Rattus norvegicus: one gene and its partners. The protein of the gene in region 2 interacts with the protein of the main gene of each other region in a biochemical or structural test. Links are inferred from orthologs where the notes say so. Each region holds a gene or a part of one and is shown on either strand. Other genes may lie near its edges.

Region 1 (6,333 bases), on a different chromosome or scaffold from region 2:
TCATAGAGACCCACTTGCCTCTGCCTCTTGAGTTCTGGAATTGAAGTTGTGTGCCCCTAAACTCAGGCATAACTGTCTTTTTGATAGGCTCTATTGAGAAGTAGAGCTGGGTGTGGTCGCTCACACCTTTAATTCCAGCACTCAAAAGCTTGCCGAGTTCAAGGCCAGCTTGGACTGTAGTCCAATGTAGTCCAATGTATGGCAAACTCCAGGACAGGGAGGAATACAAAGAGAAACCCTGTCCCAAAAACACAAAACAAACAAAGTTAATTGTATAGTTTCATGCCCGTTTTCCTTTTTACTGCTATCCCTCCCCCAACACCCTGACCCACACTCTTTCTGAGACAGGGTCCCTCTCATGTACTCCAAGTTGGCCTTGAACTGAGGCTCCCACCTCCACCTCCCAAGGGCCGGGGTTGGAGGTAGGTACTGCTGTGCTTAGTTTCATGCCTTGTTGATAAAAACATTTACTAACTAGGAGGTAAAAAGGAAGCTGATGAGATGGCTCAGTGGGTAAAAGTACTTGCCATCAAGCTTGATGATCTCGGTTCAGCACCCACATATTATGCTCCCCAAATTATCCTCCTACTCATGCACACAGATTGTGGCAAATGTGTTCAGAAGATCATAGGCACGAATACACACATACACAATGAATAGTGAATAAACAAACAAACACATAAAGAATTTTTTTCTTAAAAAGACATAAAATAAAAAGCAGTCAGGCAAGGTGGAAGATACGGTGAAGTCCAGCTATTCAGAAGGCAAGAGGATCACATAAGCCTAGGAGTTTGAGGTCAGCTTGGGCAACGTAAAGAAATCTCATCTCAGAAATGAAAACAGGGTGGGTGGTGGGTGGGGGTGGGGCCTGGAGAGATGGCTCGGTGGTTAAGAGCAGTGACTGCTCTTCCAGAGGTCTTGAGTTCAATTCCCAGCAACCACATGGTGGCTCACAACCATCTGTAATGGGATCTGATGCCCTCTTCTGGTGTGTCTGAAGACAGCTACAGAATACTCACATAAATAAATTAAAAAATTTTTAAAGAATGAAAACAGGGGCTGTAGAGATGGCCCAGCAGTTAAGAGCACTTGTGGCTCATGTTGAAGACCCTTGTTTGGACTCCAGCACCCATATAGTGGCTCACAACCATCCCTAAGTGTAGTAGCAGGGGGATCTGAGGCCCTCTCCATTTTCTGACCTCTGAAGGCACTAAACATACACGAAGTGTCTTAGATATACATGCAGACAAAACACCCATACACACAAATAAATCTAAAAGCAATGAAATCAGGAACCAGACAGATGGTTCAATGGGTAAAGGCACCTGTTGCTAACCCAACAGCCTGAGCTGGTTAGAGAATCAATTCCTGCAAGTTGTCTTGACTTCCCCCCCCCCCCACAGGCTCAGCACACACATGACCACCACAACGTGTGAGTAAATATAAAAACAAAAAGCCCAAGTCAGCCTGTCTGCAATCTCCTCGGGCCAAAACCAAAGGTAAGCCATACCTAGGATCAGGGTTCACACATCTTAAAAATAGGAGTTTTGCTTCACTTGGGGCCTATGTCACAGAAAACACCTTGAGTTCATATCCCAAAGTGTACACAGCCACCGCCATGGCTTGGCTCACTCCTACTCAGCTTATACAAGCACAGTGAAAACAGCCATGCATCAGATCCTTAGAATGGAGGAAGAGCTGGGCAAAAAAGCCAAGTTTTCTGGCAGGCCCTTCAGGAACCCACTGGCCAAGTAAGGCATGAACTGGAGATCCCTGGGGCTACCAGATCCTCTGTCCTTGGTGTTACCCAGGCTGCTCAAAGCCAGCCCAGTGATTGCCCCTCCCGATGCTACTGCTTCCTTAGATGTCCACCCCTGACCACCTGGAGCCCTGCTGGAGCCCCCAGCTCTGTAATCGTGTGATCGATCGGTCTGAATCATTGTTTCTGTCACCTGACTTCCCAGTTAGTGTCTGGGACCCTCATAACTCCAGTGTAATCCCTTGGGTGCCCACCGTCAAGACTCCCCCAGTGGTTTACATGCAAAAATAAAAGCCGCAGAAACCCCCAAAACCCCCGAAATAAAAGAAAACAGCCATGTTCTGAGTCCTGTCCCCAAAGAATGAAGCAACTTTGCCATTCCTGCCCAAATGAAGAGGCAACTTCCGGTTTCCTTGGGTAGTTATGTCAAATGGTGTTTTGCTAAAGCAGATACGTGAAAGGACAGATGATGTCTAGAAGGAAAATAAATATAACCCAACAGACAGTGGACGACCCTGGATGGTGTTGCTGTGCCTTACTCTTCACTGGTCTTCACTTCCTTGGGAGAGGCACAGCAGAGAACTTCTCCTGGCATCCCTGCTGGCCCTGGTTGCCCCTGTTGACGCATGCTGATTCCTGTTTGCTATCCTGACACCACTGAACTAGGCTGCTGGTATCCTGACAGATGGATATTGAAACTGCCCCAAGGAACAGCACCAAGCAGAACATCATGGTTTCTTCTGGATCGACCTGCTGTTGCCAAATCGTGACTGGTGTTCATGAGCGCATCCGACTACTACTGCTGACTCCGTGAACTGAACCGCTGATACCCTGACAACACAGACTGGATTTGCTCCAACAACTTTTCCTTTCCACCACCTCTGGTAAGTGGTGGGCCAGAAGGGAAGTTAAAGCATTTAATAAGCCTTATTAAAAGTAGGTTTTGAAAAGTATAAGCCTAGACCCAACTTCCTTAATCGGTCCTGTTCTACTAATTATCCGCTCACCCTCAACTTGTTTTTTAGGAGCTTCGTTCCCCGTGACACTCCCTTGCAGGGTTTCCTGAATTTTTTCTAGGTCACGGAGAATCTCCTGAATTTTCTTCTGAGACGCACTGAAAGTCACCAGCTTTGGAGAATCCAAGGGATATTCCTCCTCAGAGGAAGAATCCTGTTGGTCAAGGAAGAATGGACAATGAAATGAAGTGAAAACCAACTGAGGAACTCATAAAATACACCCAAGCTCTGCCTTCCAGCTGTAATTTTTTTTTTTCTTTTTTTTCCGGAGCTGGGGACCGAACCCAGGGCCTTGCGCTTCCTAGGCAAGCGCTCTACCACTGAGCTAAATCCCCAGCCCCCAGCTGTAATTTTAAATGGAAGTATTAACAGGCTTTGTTTTATTTTATTGTTTTGTTTTGGAGACCGGGCTTCTCTGTGTAGGCCAGGCTGCCTCAGACTCAAGAGGTCCACCTGCCTCTGCCTACTGAGTGCTGAAATGAAAAAGCAGCAGCACCACCTCCAGGCAGTATTCTTTCTGGGGAGTTGGAGTTACAGTTAATTGTGAGCTACCACGTGGGGACTGAAGATCAACCCCAGTTCATCTAGAAAAGCAAATGCTTTTAACTGCTGAGCTCTATTTCTGGCCCCATTTTACGCACAATTCATTGCTTGCTTGCTTGCTTGTTTGTTTTTCAACAGGGTTCCTCTGTGTAGCCCTGGCTGTCCTGGAACTTGCTTTGTAGCCCAGGCTGGACTCAGACTCAGAGGGATCTACCTGCCTCTGGGTAGATCTGCCAAGTGCTGGGATTAAGGGGCATATGCCACCACACCCAGCGATTATTTATTTCTTAATGTATTTTTTTATGGTGCTAGGAATCAAATCCAGACTCGTTCATGAACCCTATTAAGCTATATCCCAATCTATAAGGTTCTTTTTATTTTATTTTATATGTTTTTTGATGTGTGTGTGTGTGTGTGTGTGTGTGTGTGTGTGTGTGTGTGTGTGGTATGTGTGCACATGGAAAACAATGTCAGGTGTCCTGCTCTGTCACTCTCCACTCTATTCCCTTGAGACAGGGTCTCTCATTGATCCGGAGCCAGGCCGATGGTCACAGTAATCTCACTCCTCCAGCCACAGCACGCTCACTTGTAACCCCTTTTCTAATATCTCAGTAAGATCACAGTGGCTCGCTGGTTCCAACAGATGTCCCTGGTTCCAGGAGAGACCCTGCCTCAAAGGAATAGGCAGACAGTAATAGAAGAAGTTACCTGATACCTTCTTCATGGCCCTGAGTACACAAGTCAGAAGGTTGCAGCTGTAGTAACTGATAAAACAAACATAAAGGCATGTGAGGGGCTGGAGAGATGGCTCAGTGGTTAAGAGCACTGACTGCTCTTCCAGAGGTCCTGAGTTCAAATCCCAGCAACCACATGGTGGCTCACAACCATCTGTAATGGGATCTGATGCCCTCTTCTGGTGTGTCTGAAGACAGCTACAGTGTACATACATACGTAAAATAAATAAATCTTAAAAAAAAAAAAAAGGCATGTGAAATCTTAAGAGTCTCTGACAGGGAGTTTGATTCATTCAAGGAAATCGGTGAAGGCTACTCTCCCAGAGGGCGATGATTTAGGGGACTGGGAGGCAGTGAGGCCTTCAGCAGGTGAGTGGAGCAAGGTTGTCAGGGTTGCTGGAAGCACAGTCCCATTCCTTTCTCCCCCGCCTTGGGGTTGTGAGGCTCTGCCCTACCACATATTCCTGCCAGTGCCCCTGGACTCCTATACATAGTGACCTAAAATAAACTTTTTTCCATTTCAGAAGCCGGTTATCACTGTTATTCAGACATCGTCAGAGTATTTCAGGTGGATGAGTTAGATGAAGAAAGCTAACTAAGATAAAGTGGAACATCTGTAGGGCTACGATGACAACCCAGGCAAGAGACTGTCATCGGCCTGGACTTGAGAAGTCTCAGAGGAGCTCAGGCATGAGTAGAGCTGGAAGATCTTCAGCTGGCCTTGGAGCTACAGTGCTCTGCTAGGCAGGTTAAGGCACAGGAAGTGTCATGACTTCCAGGCTTTTGACTTGTGTGTTTGGAAGAATGAGACCAAGACAGTGATGGAGACTCCCCAGAGGAACTGCGCTGTATTGGAGACAGCCAGAAGGAAACGTTGAGAAACGAAGTGGAAGCTTCTAGGTCTTTGGAAACTTATGTCAAATGATTGTTTGCTGGGGCTCACAGGTGGAAGGATGTCTTGCTAAAGCAAACATGTGAGAGACTGTTGTCCTGAAGCAGACACAGGTGAAAGGACGCTTGACGAAGGAGTATCAATGTGGCCCCATAGACAGTGGAGACAAGCACTGTATGTTTGCCTTACATAGCACTGCTGAGCTCAACTTGTGATACACAGCCATTGAGAGAAGCTCTCCCAAGAACTGTTTCCAAGGGCTGGAGATGGCTCAGTGGTTAAGAGCACTGACTGCTCTTCCAGAGGGCCTGAGTTCAATTCCCAGCAACCACATGGTGGCTCACAACCATCTGCAGTGGGATCCAATGCCCTCTTCTCATGTGTCTGAAGTCAGCTACAGTGTACTCACGTGCATACAATAAATAAATAAATAAATAAATAAATAAATAAATAAATAAATAAATAGTAGGTTGCAAAAACTGCATACCTACAGAGAAACAGGAAAGGAGGGTCAGGAGTTCATGGCCAGCTCTCATTATATACTGAATTCAAGGCCAGTCTGGGCTAGAGATCCTACCACATAAAACAAAAGCAAATAAAGCAACTGGGGACTGAGCGTAGTGGAACTCGGGAGGATTCAGGAGGCTGGTACAGGAGGACCATGAGTTCCTGGTGAACAACAAAACTCCATCTCAAAAGGAAGCGGGGTGCTTGCTGCACAAATCCGATGACCCGAGTTAGATTCCTGGAACCCAGACTCCGGAAAGCTGGGCTCTGACCCCCACACACCCGACCCTGCACACACACCCTCTCAACACACATACCCTCCCCTCTACACAATCCCCCCGGCACACACAAACTCCCCTCCACACAATAATAAAAATACTTTCTGCAAGGTCACTGAGTGAGGCTGGAGAGTTAGCTTGTCAGCTTGTTAGCTTGTCAGTGTTCTTGCACACGACCTGCGTTCAATTCCCAGTACCCACATGATGGCTCGCGCCCATCTATAGCTTTGATTCTAAGGGATCCATCGTCCTCTTTCCTCTGCCCTACTCAGACATCGGGCATGCACACGGTGCACACACATAAAAGCAGACGAAACACCCAAAAACATAAAATAAGATAAACACATCTTTAAAAAGATTTTTGGGGTTGGGGATTTAGCTCAGTGGTAGAGCGCTTGCCTAGGAAGCGCAAGGCCCTGGGTTCGATCCCCAGCTCCGAAAAAAAGAACCAAAAATAAATAAATAAATAAATAAATAAATAAAGATTTTTAAGGGACACTGAAGATGAGGACTTTCAAACCTGTGGGATTTACCTAGGTATTGTTGGTGGATTTAGAGAGTGAATCATGTAGAGTGGGAAGGATGGATCCCAGCCTACTTAAAG
Region 2 (6,333 bases):
TCACCTCCAAAGGCCGCCACCAGCTAGCGTCCAAGCTTGCTCCCCAGACTGTCCGTCGTCCAGTGACTGAGGCCGTGTTTGCAGATGGTTTTGAGTTCCCTTACCATGTATTCAAATAGAATTCCTGTGATTTTGATGTGAAAGCGTTTTTATCTTGGGCTCGCTTTAAGAAATCCCCATTTTTTTCTTTCTTTCCAGGTTACTGTGGACTTTATGAAGCCATCGAAACTTGGGACTTTCAAAAACTTGAAAAGTTAGAGGAACACAGATTACTTTTAAGACGTTTAGAGCCGGAATTTAAGGCCACAGTTAGCCCGACAGATATCCTTTCTGAAATATCTGAATGTTTGATTAATCAGGAATGTGAAGAAATCAGACAGGTAAGCCAGTACAGGTACTAAGTTTAAAGAAAAATGCTGACACATTGGAAATGCCCCGTTTTCTGTCGTGCTTTAGGCCCAAGGATAATCGAAACCCATAAAAGCTCTCATCTAGAAGACATAATGACTAGAATAGAATTTTTAAAGTGAATGGGGTAATTTTCTGTGCAAGACTATTGGAAAATTGACCTATTTGCAGTTCAAGTTGCCCCCTTACCTTTTCTTTGAATAGTGTTTTATGCACATGCAAATCACGTCAAGCAGGGCAACAAATGAAAAGAAAAATAGGCCAGGCTCTGGCGTGTAGCTACATTTATTACAGTCTCTCAGTCCCTTAACTAGTGTTCGGCAATCCATTTAGCTTCTCTAAGAAGCTAATGGAAGAAAAATGTACCTTATTAGCATGCTCTTAGGGTGAAACGAGACGGTGCGCACTAAGTATATCTGCCAGTTTGATGCATAGCAATATATACACCATGCATTTTAGTGATCATTAGAAATAAAAATCATAGAATACCTGCTTTGAAAAAAACCAAACCAAACTGCTGCTGTGTTGTTAGGCGTTTCCAAATGGCTCTGTATGCTGAGATATCCTTAGGGTGAACGGGTCGGTCGTTGTCTGGGTTAACTTTTTACCCTGGGATTGCCAGAGGCAATGGATGTAAGGATTCAGAAGATAACATTTGCCTTGACATATTGATAGCCCGTTATAAAGGACAAAGGTGAAGGGAAGAATAGTTTAAAAGCTAGTGCTGGGTAGGGCAAAAAAAAAAAAAAAAAAAAAAAAAAAAGATGCTAAGGCCCCTCGACCAGAGCTCACAGTGATCTCTACCAAGAACTGCTTGAGTAGATGTGGTTTCTTTAGCAAAGCTTGCAAGGAGAAAGGCTGAGCTGGCCAATCAGTGTGGTGCCTTTGTCTCCCCCAGATCTGCTTCACTAAAGGGAGGATGGCGGGTGCGGAGAAGATGGTCCAATGTCTTCTCAGATCCGATAAGGAGAACTGGCCAAAGGTTTTGCAGTTTGCTTTGGAGAAAGACAACAGCAAGTTTAGTGAACTGTGGCTCGTCGATAAAGGTGGGCTGCTCTGAGAAAGAGCTCTGAACCATGCTGGGCCCCACAGTTCTCCCCGACTTTACTTTCCATCAGAGACGCTGTTCACTTCACATACCTCAAGCCGTGGCCCTAGGACACAAGCGGTGGGAAGACACAAGCTGGGTCCTGGGAGGAAGGGAGCTACAAGTCATGGAATTAACCCACCCAGGTCAAAGAATTTGGAGAAGGAAGAATAAAGGCTTCCTGCCGAGATTTATAAGAGTTCTAGACCTAAAGGTTCGAACTGCGAGACTTATCTCCCTGTCAGAGTAGAGGCCGAGCGCTGGGAGTGATAGCTGTTGACTGGTTCTCTTGTCCAGAAGCCATCAGGAACTGAACAGAGCAAGGCGTAAACAGAGATTTGCTGTGATTAAGCCAACCTTATTTGGCTTCCGGAAAGTCACTTCTTGCTTTAAACCAGACCTTGATAAATACCCGAGTTTCTAGGTTCAGTTCTCACCTAGAACATCAGTCATTCCAGAAACTGTCTATGTCATTGGTCAGAGATGAAATCGTGAGTGTCCCTTTAGTGTGCTCAGGAGTGACTCTCCTGCGTCATTGTCCTGAGCTATGGAGTGGGGAGGGACTCCGATTACGCACTGCTAATAGCTGCACGTTCTACACTTGGAGTCTCGTAGTTCTAGGCGACACTGGAATTCAAACACCCAAGTGACCTTCAAACTCAAAATGATTCTTGCTGCTGTTTTAAGCTGACAAAGTGGGGCTGGTGAGATGGCTCAGCTCCTGTCACTGAGCCTGAAGAACCGAGTTCAATGTCTAGGCCCTACATGATAGAGAGAACCAATCCCCAGACAGGGTCCTCCACCTCCGCATACTCACTGTGTCATGTGTGACACACACAATAAACAAATCCATTTCAAAAGTAAATAAAATGTTGAGAAACTGCAAAGCGGGCTGGAGAGATGGCTCAGAGGTTAAGAGCACTGACGGTTCTCCCAGAGGCCCTGAGTTCAAATCCCAGAAACCACATGGTGGCTCGCAACCATCTGCAATGAGATCTGATGCCCTCTTCTGGTGTGTCTGAGGACAGCTACAGTGTACATATATAAATATGATAAATAAATAAATCTTTAAAAAAAAAGAAGGGGTTGGGGATTTAGCTCAGTGGTAGAGCGCTTGCCTAGCAAGCGCAAGGCCCTAGGTTCGGTCCCCAGCTCCGAAAAAAAGAAAAAAAGAAAAAAAGAAAAAAGAAAGAAAGAAAGAAAGAAAGAAAGAAAGAAAGAAACTGTGAAGTCATGGTTATAAGAGCTTTTCGGGGCTTCCTCAACCAAAACCGTAATCACATAGCGTTAAGATTCTAAGCTCTTATTTGTGTTTGTTTGTATGTTTGTTTGTCTTCACAAAGGTGTCAGAAGGGTTGACTGTAAGGCTGTTGAGGATGACGGAACAGAGATGGCCAGCATACAGATTTTCATTCAGGAAGAACCGGAGTGTCAGAATCTCAGTCAGAATCCCGGCCCTCCTTCAGGTACCCAGCATCACTTGTTCTTGTCCATGATGGTGTTTCCCCAGCACTTTGAAGCCTTTTGAAAAAAAAAAATCCTTTTTAAGGATGATTGAGAAAAGAAAGAGAATTTGTGGGGCGATAGAGACTTATAATCAGAATTCTGGTTCCCGTCTTCCATAGCCTCTGCTGCTTTTATAGCCTTCTACCCTGGAGTATATGTGTCTTTATATGTACCACCGTGCCCGTGGCATCCCAAAGCAGCTTTTCTCTCTGAAGAATACTTGTTTCTGAGCCACTTGTTCAGTCTCGTCTCAGGGTGCCAGGGCTGCCGTCCGAGAGCATGAGGTGACTGTGTGGCCGCTGTTTGCAGCCTCTGTGTGTGGGCTCACAGTAACTTCTCACACACAGGCTACTGTTCTGTTACCTGTGGTTGGACGAGGGCCCTAATGCTCCTTGAAATACACCTTTATTATAAAGAGACTAGAGGGCTAGAGAGATGGCTCAGTGGTTAAGGGCACTGACTGCTCTTCTAGAGGTCCTGAGTTCAAATCCCAGCAACCACATGGTGGCTCACAACCATCTGTAATGGGATCTGATGCCCTCTTCTGGTGTGTCTGAAGACAGTGACAGTGTACTCACATACATAGCATTAATTAAAAAAAAAAAAAAAAAAGAGAGAGAGAGAGACCAGAAAGTTGTAAGACAACTTTCAAACAAACAAAACATTTGTAAAAAATATATATCAGGAAGGAGATATATTAATGATGAATAGTGTTAAAAGATGTGATTTCTTAAAAACAGTATATATATGTGTACACACACACACACACACACACACACACACACACACACACACCACACACACACACATCTTACAAATGATGTCAGCAAGTGAATGACACAGGTTTTCATCCTAGGGATACACAGTCGATTTAAATATTTCGGACACACAGTGATCCATACATGACTTTTAAACAAAGGCGATTTTCTTCACCTAGAAAGTCTTTCTTTACAGTGGGACGGTTAGACACTCAGTTGCTTTGAGAACCTGGTGCCAACAGCTGGTTTTCTGGCTGTTTTTGAAGATCTGTTCTTACTTTGTAACAAGTGGCTATGTTCTGAATTAGGCCATTCTTGCTTTCCTTTTTCTTAGTAATGTTTCCATGATTAAGAAAGAAGTCACGGGGCTGGAGAGATGGCTCAGCATTTAAGGGCACTGACTGATCTTCCAGAGGTCATGAGTTCAATTCCTAGCAACCACATGATGGCTCATGAACATCTGTAATGGGATCTGATGCCCTCTTCTGGTGTGTCTGAAGACAGTGACAGTGTACTCATACACATAAAATAAAATAAATAAATGAATCTTTAAAAAGGAAGGAAGGAAGGAAGGGAGAGAGAGAGAGAGAGAGAGAGAGAGAGAGAGAGAGAGGAAGAATAATTCACTTTGGCCTTTCCCCTGCCTCCTTGCTGTTGATACTTTGTCATTGAGAGAGTAGAGTGTCCTTCAAAGGGGAAAGTGGGACAATTATTAAGAAGCAAGATCCCAAACCTCCTCAAATGGGGCATTGTTGCTAGGATCAGAACTCAGGTCCACTGAATGGCACAAACCCTTCAATAACTCTGTCCCTTCTGTATTACAGAAGCGTCTCCTAATAATTCACACAGCCCATTGAAACCAAGAAATTACCAACTGGAGCTTGCCCTGCCTGCCAAGAAAGGGAAAAATACAGTAATATGTGCTCCTACTGGTGAGTTAGTTGCTGCAACTCACAGAACCTTCTCTTTGCTTTTTCGTTTCCTTTTGGGTGCTGCAAAGCAAGGGGTTTTTCCGTATTTGCCATTGGGAGAGCTGTCCGGTCAGCAATCTCTCTGTGTTTCTCAAGGAAGCCGGTGGGAGATGAGTGCCCTCTTTTAGTTTGCTTTTGGTCCTTGCTCCTTGAACGCATGTTACTTAGGGAGAAGGTGGCATTTTTAAGCCATGGTTTAAAGTGTCACTGTCTGTGCAGAGGAAGGATTCGTTTATTTGTATCCCAATGGTGATACAGAAGCCAAAAATAATTACCATCCTGGAAAAACAGCTAACACCGCTTATCTCTTTCTTTTTCCTTCCCTTGCTAAAAGGTTGTGGAAAAACCTTTGTGTCGCTTCTCATATGCGAACATCATCTTAAAAACTTTCCGCACGGACAGAAAGGGAAAGTGGTCTTTTTTGCTAACCAGATCCCTGTGTATGAACAGCAGGCCACTGTGTTCTCACGATATTTCGAAAGATTTGGGTATGTACTACGATCAGTCCAACCTCTTTCGTCTTTTGTTTTTATTTTAAATTTCTAGCCTCTTTGTCTGGTTTTGGGGGTTTTGTTGTAGGGTATCACGTAGCTGGGGCTGTCCTCCAACTCACTCTGTAGCTGAGGTTGGCCTAGACGAGATGATCCTTTTGCTTCTACCTTCCAGCGCATTTGGCAGGCCTCGCTGTTCTGTGTTATGATTAAAAGAAAATTACCGGGTTTGGGGATTTAGCTCAGTGGTAGAGCACTTGCCTAGGAAGCGCAAGGCCCTGGGTTCGGTCCCCAGCTCCGGAAAAAAAAAAAAAAAAGAAAGAAAATTACCCCAGACTTAACTTTTAGAAGTAGTTCCTTTGTGGAATAACATTCTTTGTTTAACTTTACCAGAAATGCTAAGCCCTCATGGATTGCTCTGACCATTAATAACTTGGTGGCCAAATTTAACATTTAGGTGATGCACTGGTCTTTTTTTTTTTTTTTTGATTTTATCTTTCTTTTATTGATGAGTATTGCAGAAAACATCACGTTCCTTGTCATTTATAGAATTATTGTGAATATCATCATTATGTCTGATTTTACAGTGATTTTAGATTTTCCGTATAATTTCTCTGCACCCTCTGCTCCTCCCCCATCTCTGATCCCTTTGGTTTGCTTGGATACACAAGCGAGGTCATTTCTGTAGCTTGTGTTCAGGTTTTTTTTAGTACCTTCGTTTACCTCCGTCTTCCTGAAGACAAATGCAACAGAAGTCAATCAACTTCGCCCTGTGGTTGCCCTTACTTGTATCTATAAACTCATCTCCGATCATCAATGGCTTTCTTTTCTTTTCTTTCCATTTTTATTAAATTGGGTATTTCTTATTTACATTTCAAATGTTATTCCCTTTCCCGGTTTCCTGTCTATCAGCCCCCTAACTCCTCCCCCTCCCCTTTTATAAGGTTGTTCCCCTCCCCATCCACCCCCCCCACGCTGGTCATTTTTAATGATTTTATACTTTATTGGCTATTACTCTTTTAAAAATCGTTTATCTTCTAATGACTTGGAACATTGTGATCATTGGATCAGTTAGTTATAACCCCTTGCATTTCCTGGTCCCTGGCTTTGCA
Region 3 (5,409 bases), on a different chromosome or scaffold from region 2:
CAATATTTCGTTTCTGAAGTGTTAGGAGATTATAAGCACAACTTTTTTTTCCATCTTTATTAAATTGAGTATTTCTTATTTACATTTCAATTGTTATTCCCTTTTCCGGTTTCCATGCCAACATCCCCCTAACTCCTTCCCTTCCCCTTCTATATGGGTGTTCCCCTCCCCACCCTCCCCCCATTGCCGCCCTCCCCCCAACAATCTAGTTCACTGGGGGTTCAGTCTTAGGACCCAGGGCTTCCCCTTCCACTGGTGATCTTACTAGGATATTCATTGCTACCTATGAAGTCAGAGTCCAGGGTCAGTCCATGTATAGTCTTTAGGTAGTGGCTTAGTCCCTGGAAGCTCTGGTTGGTTGGCATTGTTGTTCATATGGGGTCTCAAGCCCCCTCAGTCATAAGCACAGCATTTATCACATTTATTATGTATTATTATATTATTATTAATATTACTATTATTATTACCTTTCGGTTTTTCAAGGCAGGGTTTCTCTGGGTGGCTCTGGCGGTCCTGATACTCCATCTGTAGACCTGGCTGGACCCAAACTTAGAGATCTGTCTGCTTCTGCCTCTCAAACGCTGGGATTAACAGTGTGGGCCACCACCAAAGTACATGCATTTCTCTTTAATAAGAAGGCCTGTACTTTGTGAGTGTTTTGTGAAAAAAAAAATCCAATTCATTAACTGTCCCAGTGTAACCCGATTTGAAAGTCATGAAGCCAGGTTACGTGAGGGCCCTGGCCAACAGGAGTTTTATCTTGAGTTTGCTTTGTGTAGGTCTGCCTCAGTGACATGAGGGCGCACATTAGGACGTGTGAGAAGTACATCGATAAATATGGCCCACTGCAAGAGCTTGGAGAGACCACTGCAAGGTTTGTTTGAATACAGTAGAGCGCCATGCTAAATTCAGCGTGTCTATGAGGAATTTAAGGCCAGCACTTGGGAGGCCGAGGCAAGAGTTGTGGCTTTGAGGCCATCCTGGGCTACAGAGTGAGGTACTCCTGTGAGGAAAGCCACTCAAAATGGGATTTCAGTACCCAAGTCTTACCTTTATTCTTTTTTTAATGTGTGTGTGTGTGTGTGTGTGTGTGTGTGTGTGTGTGTGTGTGTGTACCCAAGTATATGTCGGCACCATGCTGGTGCAGGATCCTGTAGAGGTCAGAGACTGTTGACTGCCCTGGGAGTGGAGTTACGAACAGTTTTGAACCCCACGTGGGTACTGGGGACTGAACCCGAGTCCTCTGCAAGAGCAGCCAGTGCTTTTAACCACTGAGCCGCCTCTCCAGCCTCAAATGCATGCATCTTAACCTAGAAATCCAAAGACTCCTCTGTTCCTTTCACTTTACTTGAAATTGCCCTGCTAATGCACCTGTCATCCCAGGGTTTGCTTTACAGATGGTGCCATGAATTTTAAATTGAGTATTTTTTTTTTTTTTTGCTGTAAACAGAGTACAGCTTCTGCTAGATTGACCAGGGGGGAGGAAGAAAGGCTAAAAAATAAGTTGAGAAAATATGGCTTTGACTGCAAGTTCATGGAGTTTATGAAAAATTTAAAATACACGGGAACTGACTTTAATTTCTTTTGCTAATTAAAATCATAACAAGGAATTGTAAAACTAAGCTCAGTGGCGCATGAGTATAACCAGTATGCAGGAAGTCAAGCCAGCAGGAGGACTGTGTAGTAACTTTGAGGACAGTTTGAACAACACAAGGAGATCCAAACAAAACCTCATCCCAGTGTGATGACGTGCCTGTAATCGCAGCATTCCGGGAGGCTGAGGCAGAGGGATTGCTGAGAGCTTGGGGAAAGCCTGAGCTACATGGCAAGACTCTTGTCTTAAAACAGAAAAGCAAGCTACATGTGGTGGTGTACAACCATAATCCTGGCACTTAGGAGATAGAAGCAGGAGGACCAAGGCAAGCCTGGTCTGTGTAGTGAGAACCTGATCCTTAGGGGAAAAAAAAAAAAGGAACTAGGGGTTGGGGGTTTAGCTTAGTGGTAGAGCACTTGAGCACTTGCCTAGCAAGCGCAAGGCCCTGGGTTCAGTCCTCAGCTCTGGAAAAAAAAGGGGAGGGGGACTAACCTAGCTGTGGTCTATACAACTCTTTTCTTTTTGAAATTTCTAACTAGGTAGCCGTTCTAGCTGACCACTATTTAAGTGATTGTGATTCTGTGCTATTTCCAGATGCGTGTGTCCATTTTGTCAGAGAGAACTGGATGAAGACTGCTTGCTGGATCATTGTATTATCCACCACAGATCAGAAAGGAGGCCTGTGGTAATGATTCTGATCTACCGTCTGTCTGTCTGTCTGTCTGTCGGCAGCGTTGGAGTTTAGGTGGCTCATGCCTGTGATCTCAGCACTTGAGAGGTGATGAAGGACAGGTGCTGTAGGTTTGAGGCAAACCCGGGCTACACAGAGAGTTCATGCCAGCCTGGGCTACAGGATTGGAACTGTATCTGCTCCTCCCACGGAGAAACGGTTCATCAGGAAGTCTGCTTACTTATTTTCCAGTTTTTAAAATTACTACATGTATTTATTACACACAGTTCACAAGTTGGGATGAGGGAACTTTTGGCACAACTGGCGTCCCTCTAAGCTTTTCACCAGCTCCGAGAAACTTTCTTTGATATTGTGTGGCTGGGCATGATGCTACAGGCCTTTGGAAGGGAAAAGCATGTGGAATCTTGTGAGTTTAGGACTAGCCTGGACTACATGGTGATTTTTCAGGTTCGTAGTTCTACAACTGTGATACCCTATACATTTTTTTAATTGTTAAGAAAAAGATAGCCAAGCAATGGTGACCCATGCCATTAATCCCAGTACTTGGGAGGCAAAGGGAGGTGGATCTCTTGAGTTTGAGGCCAGCCTGGTCTACAGAGTGAGTTCCAGGACAGCGAGGGCTACACAAAGAAACTCTGTCTTGAAAAACCAGAGAGAGAGAGAGAGAGAGAGAGAGAGAGAGAGAGAGAGAGAGAGAGAGAGAGAGAGGAGCGGGATGGTGGGTGGGGGAAGATACTCAGATGAAGAGAGGGCTAACTGTGTAGCGCTAGCTGACCTCGAACTTTCTTTGTAGACCAGACTGGTCTTGAACTCAGATCTTCCTGGCTAAAAATATAAATTTTGTTATTGAGCCAAGCATAGTAGTAGACAGGTGTTTAAGTCTAGCCTTAGCCACAGTGAATTGAAAGCTTGCTTTAGCTATGTGAGAAACAAAACCAAACAGTGCTGGGTTTTCAGTCACTAAAAACCTTAGTCAGTAGAATGCCTGCACACTAGCAGGAAGAGCAGAGTTCTGATCCCCAGTGCTCCCCTAAAACCTGCTGTAGCCCCAGGACTAGGAAGGAGTACAGAGAAGGTAGATTGCTGGAACTTGCTGACCAGCCAGCTAACCTAGACTAAATGCTTAGCTTCAGCCTCAATGAGAAGCTCTGGCTCAAAAAATATATTGAAAGAGGGGCTGAAGAGCTGGGTCAGTGTTTAGAAACACTTGCTGCTCTTACAGAGGACCAGAGTTCCAGGCCCAGCACCTACCTATGTGGTATCCTGCAGCAATCTTTATCTCTGGTTTCAGGATACCTGATGTTCTCTTCCAGGGTCCATGGGACCCGGCATGGATGTGGCACACACATCATACATGTGATACACATATTATACATGCAGGCCAACACTCACACACATAAAATAAAAGTCAGTAAATCATTTTAAATAAAGTCCTTTAAAAAAGGATGACAACTTAAATATATGAAGTGGAAACGAAAAATAAAAATAAATTAAAAACACAGGGTGAGAATAACTGAGGGCATTTACCTCTGACCTCTGACCTCCACGCAGACATGCGCACACATGACCCTGTACATATACACACAAACACATGAACACACACACATCACACACCATGAAACTAAACCAACAATGTTGATGTGTGTCCAACAGATTCATAGTTAAGATTCATATTCAATGGTGAGTTCTTTAAAAATCTAGCATTGATAATTATTTAAAACTTGTTATTGAACTACTTGTCTTTCCTTCTTTCCAGTTCTGCCCACTTTGCCATTCACAACCCAATGAAAGCCCAAGTACCTTCAGTGGCAGTTTAATTAGACATTTGCAAGTCAGCCACACTTTGTTTTACGACGATTTCATAGTAAGTATATATCTACCCTTTACATTATATTTCTGTGCAATCTGCGTTAAACTTACTCTTTATAATCCCCATGGGTAAAAGTATGCAAGAAAAAGTGAGCGTTAAGTACTGGCATTAAGGAGAAAGTCCTGACAGTCAAGTGCTTTGTAAAACTGACTACTAATGTTGAAGCAGTCTTCTTTAATCAGCTGCGATGGTGCATACTTTTGATCCCAGCACTTGTGAGGCAGAGGCAGGTGAGCTCTCTGAGTTAGCCTGGTCTACATAGTGAGCTCCAGGCCAGCCAGGGCCTCATGATAAGTTACTATATCAACAGACAAAAAATGAGCCGGAGCGGCCATTTTTTGTTTTATTTATAGTAGAGCTGATATGAAGTCTACATTTCACTTTAAAAAGTAAAATGAAGCGAGAAGGACATTTTACTTACATTTTCTCTCCATAAATGAAAAATAAATATAACTTCGCATTCTTTTTTTTAAAGATTAATTCATTTATTATATATAAGTACACTGTAGCTGTCTTCAGACACACCAGAAGAGGACATCGGATCTCTTTACAGATGGTTGTGAGCCACCATGTGGTTGCTGGGAATTGAACTCAGGACTTCTGGAAGAGTAGTCGGATGCTCTTAACTGCTGAGCCATCTCTCCAGCCCCTTAGCATTCTTTTTATGAGTACACTGTTGCTATCTTCTGACACACCAGAAGAGGGCAGCAGATTACATTACAAATGGTTGTGAGCCACCATGTGGTTGCTGGGAATTGAACTGGGGAACTCTGGAAGTCCAGCCAGTGTTCTTAAGCACTGAACCATTTCTCCAGCCCACTGTTAGCATTCTGAATCCTAGAGGTAGCCTTATTTTTTTGTCCAATGCTAGAGATCAACCCTAGGGTCTTGACCATTCTAGGAAAATACTAGTTATTCAACTCTGTCACTAGAAAACTAGCAGGAATGTGTAACTTTATTCCTGATATGCATGAAATATAGGTAACATCTTGACCAGAATTTCTTTCTTTTATTTTTCTAAATCTTTAAGTTTTAATGTACTTTTTATTTACATGTATATGTGTATGTGGGGAGGGAGTGCCCAAGGCAGTCAAATGTGGGCATCAGATTCCCTGGTGGGTATGTGCTATTGTGGAGTTCATGACCACTGGGGAAAGACCTACAGACATAATTCAGATTATAATTAAAGCAAATTTATTAAGGCTACGAGCAAGGCCTACAGTCTCTAACCTGACCACGCAGAAGCAGATGCAG

Evidence for each region.
Region 1: of the proteins of Rig1 (region 2) and Rnf135, one has a biochemical effect on the other in vitro, tested with the Homo sapiens proteins (6 studies listed by BioGRID, with this or other methods). The link is inferred for Rattus norvegicus from reciprocal best matches to the Homo sapiens genes RIGI and RNF135.
Region 3: of the proteins of Rig1 (region 2) and Rnf125, one has a biochemical effect on the other in vitro, tested with the Homo sapiens proteins (3 studies listed by BioGRID and IntAct, with this or other methods). The link is inferred for Rattus norvegicus from reciprocal best matches to the Homo sapiens genes RIGI and RNF125.

Annotation. Positions count from the first base shown.
Region 1 is NC_086028.1:65,673,048-65,679,380, reverse strand, and holds part of Rnf135 (E3 ubiquitin-protein ligase RNF135), read right to left. Parts: exon of another isoform or gene 4,577-6,333; intron 2,930-4,576; coding exon 2,767-2,929; intron 2,644-2,766; exon of another isoform or gene 1-2,643.
Region 2 is NC_086023.1:60,147,535-60,153,867, reverse strand, and holds part of Rig1 (antiviral innate immune response receptor RIG-I), read left to right. Parts: intron 1-198; coding exon 199-380; intron 381-1,306; coding exon 1,307-1,454; intron 1,455-2,838; coding exon 2,839-2,961; intron 2,962-4,583; coding exon 4,584-4,691; intron 4,692-5,064; coding exon 5,065-5,218; intron 5,219-6,333.
Region 3 is NC_086036.1:12,544,102-12,549,510, forward strand, and holds part of Rnf125 (E3 ubiquitin-protein ligase RNF125), read left to right. Parts: intron 1-779; coding exon 780-874; intron 875-2,188; coding exon 2,189-2,279; intron 2,280-4,041; coding exon 4,042-4,149; intron 4,150-5,409. UniProt on the Homo sapiens protein: E3 ubiquitin-protein ligase that mediates ubiquitination and subsequent proteasomal degradation of target proteins, such as RIGI, MAVS/IPS1, IFIH1/MDA5, JAK1 and p53/TP53.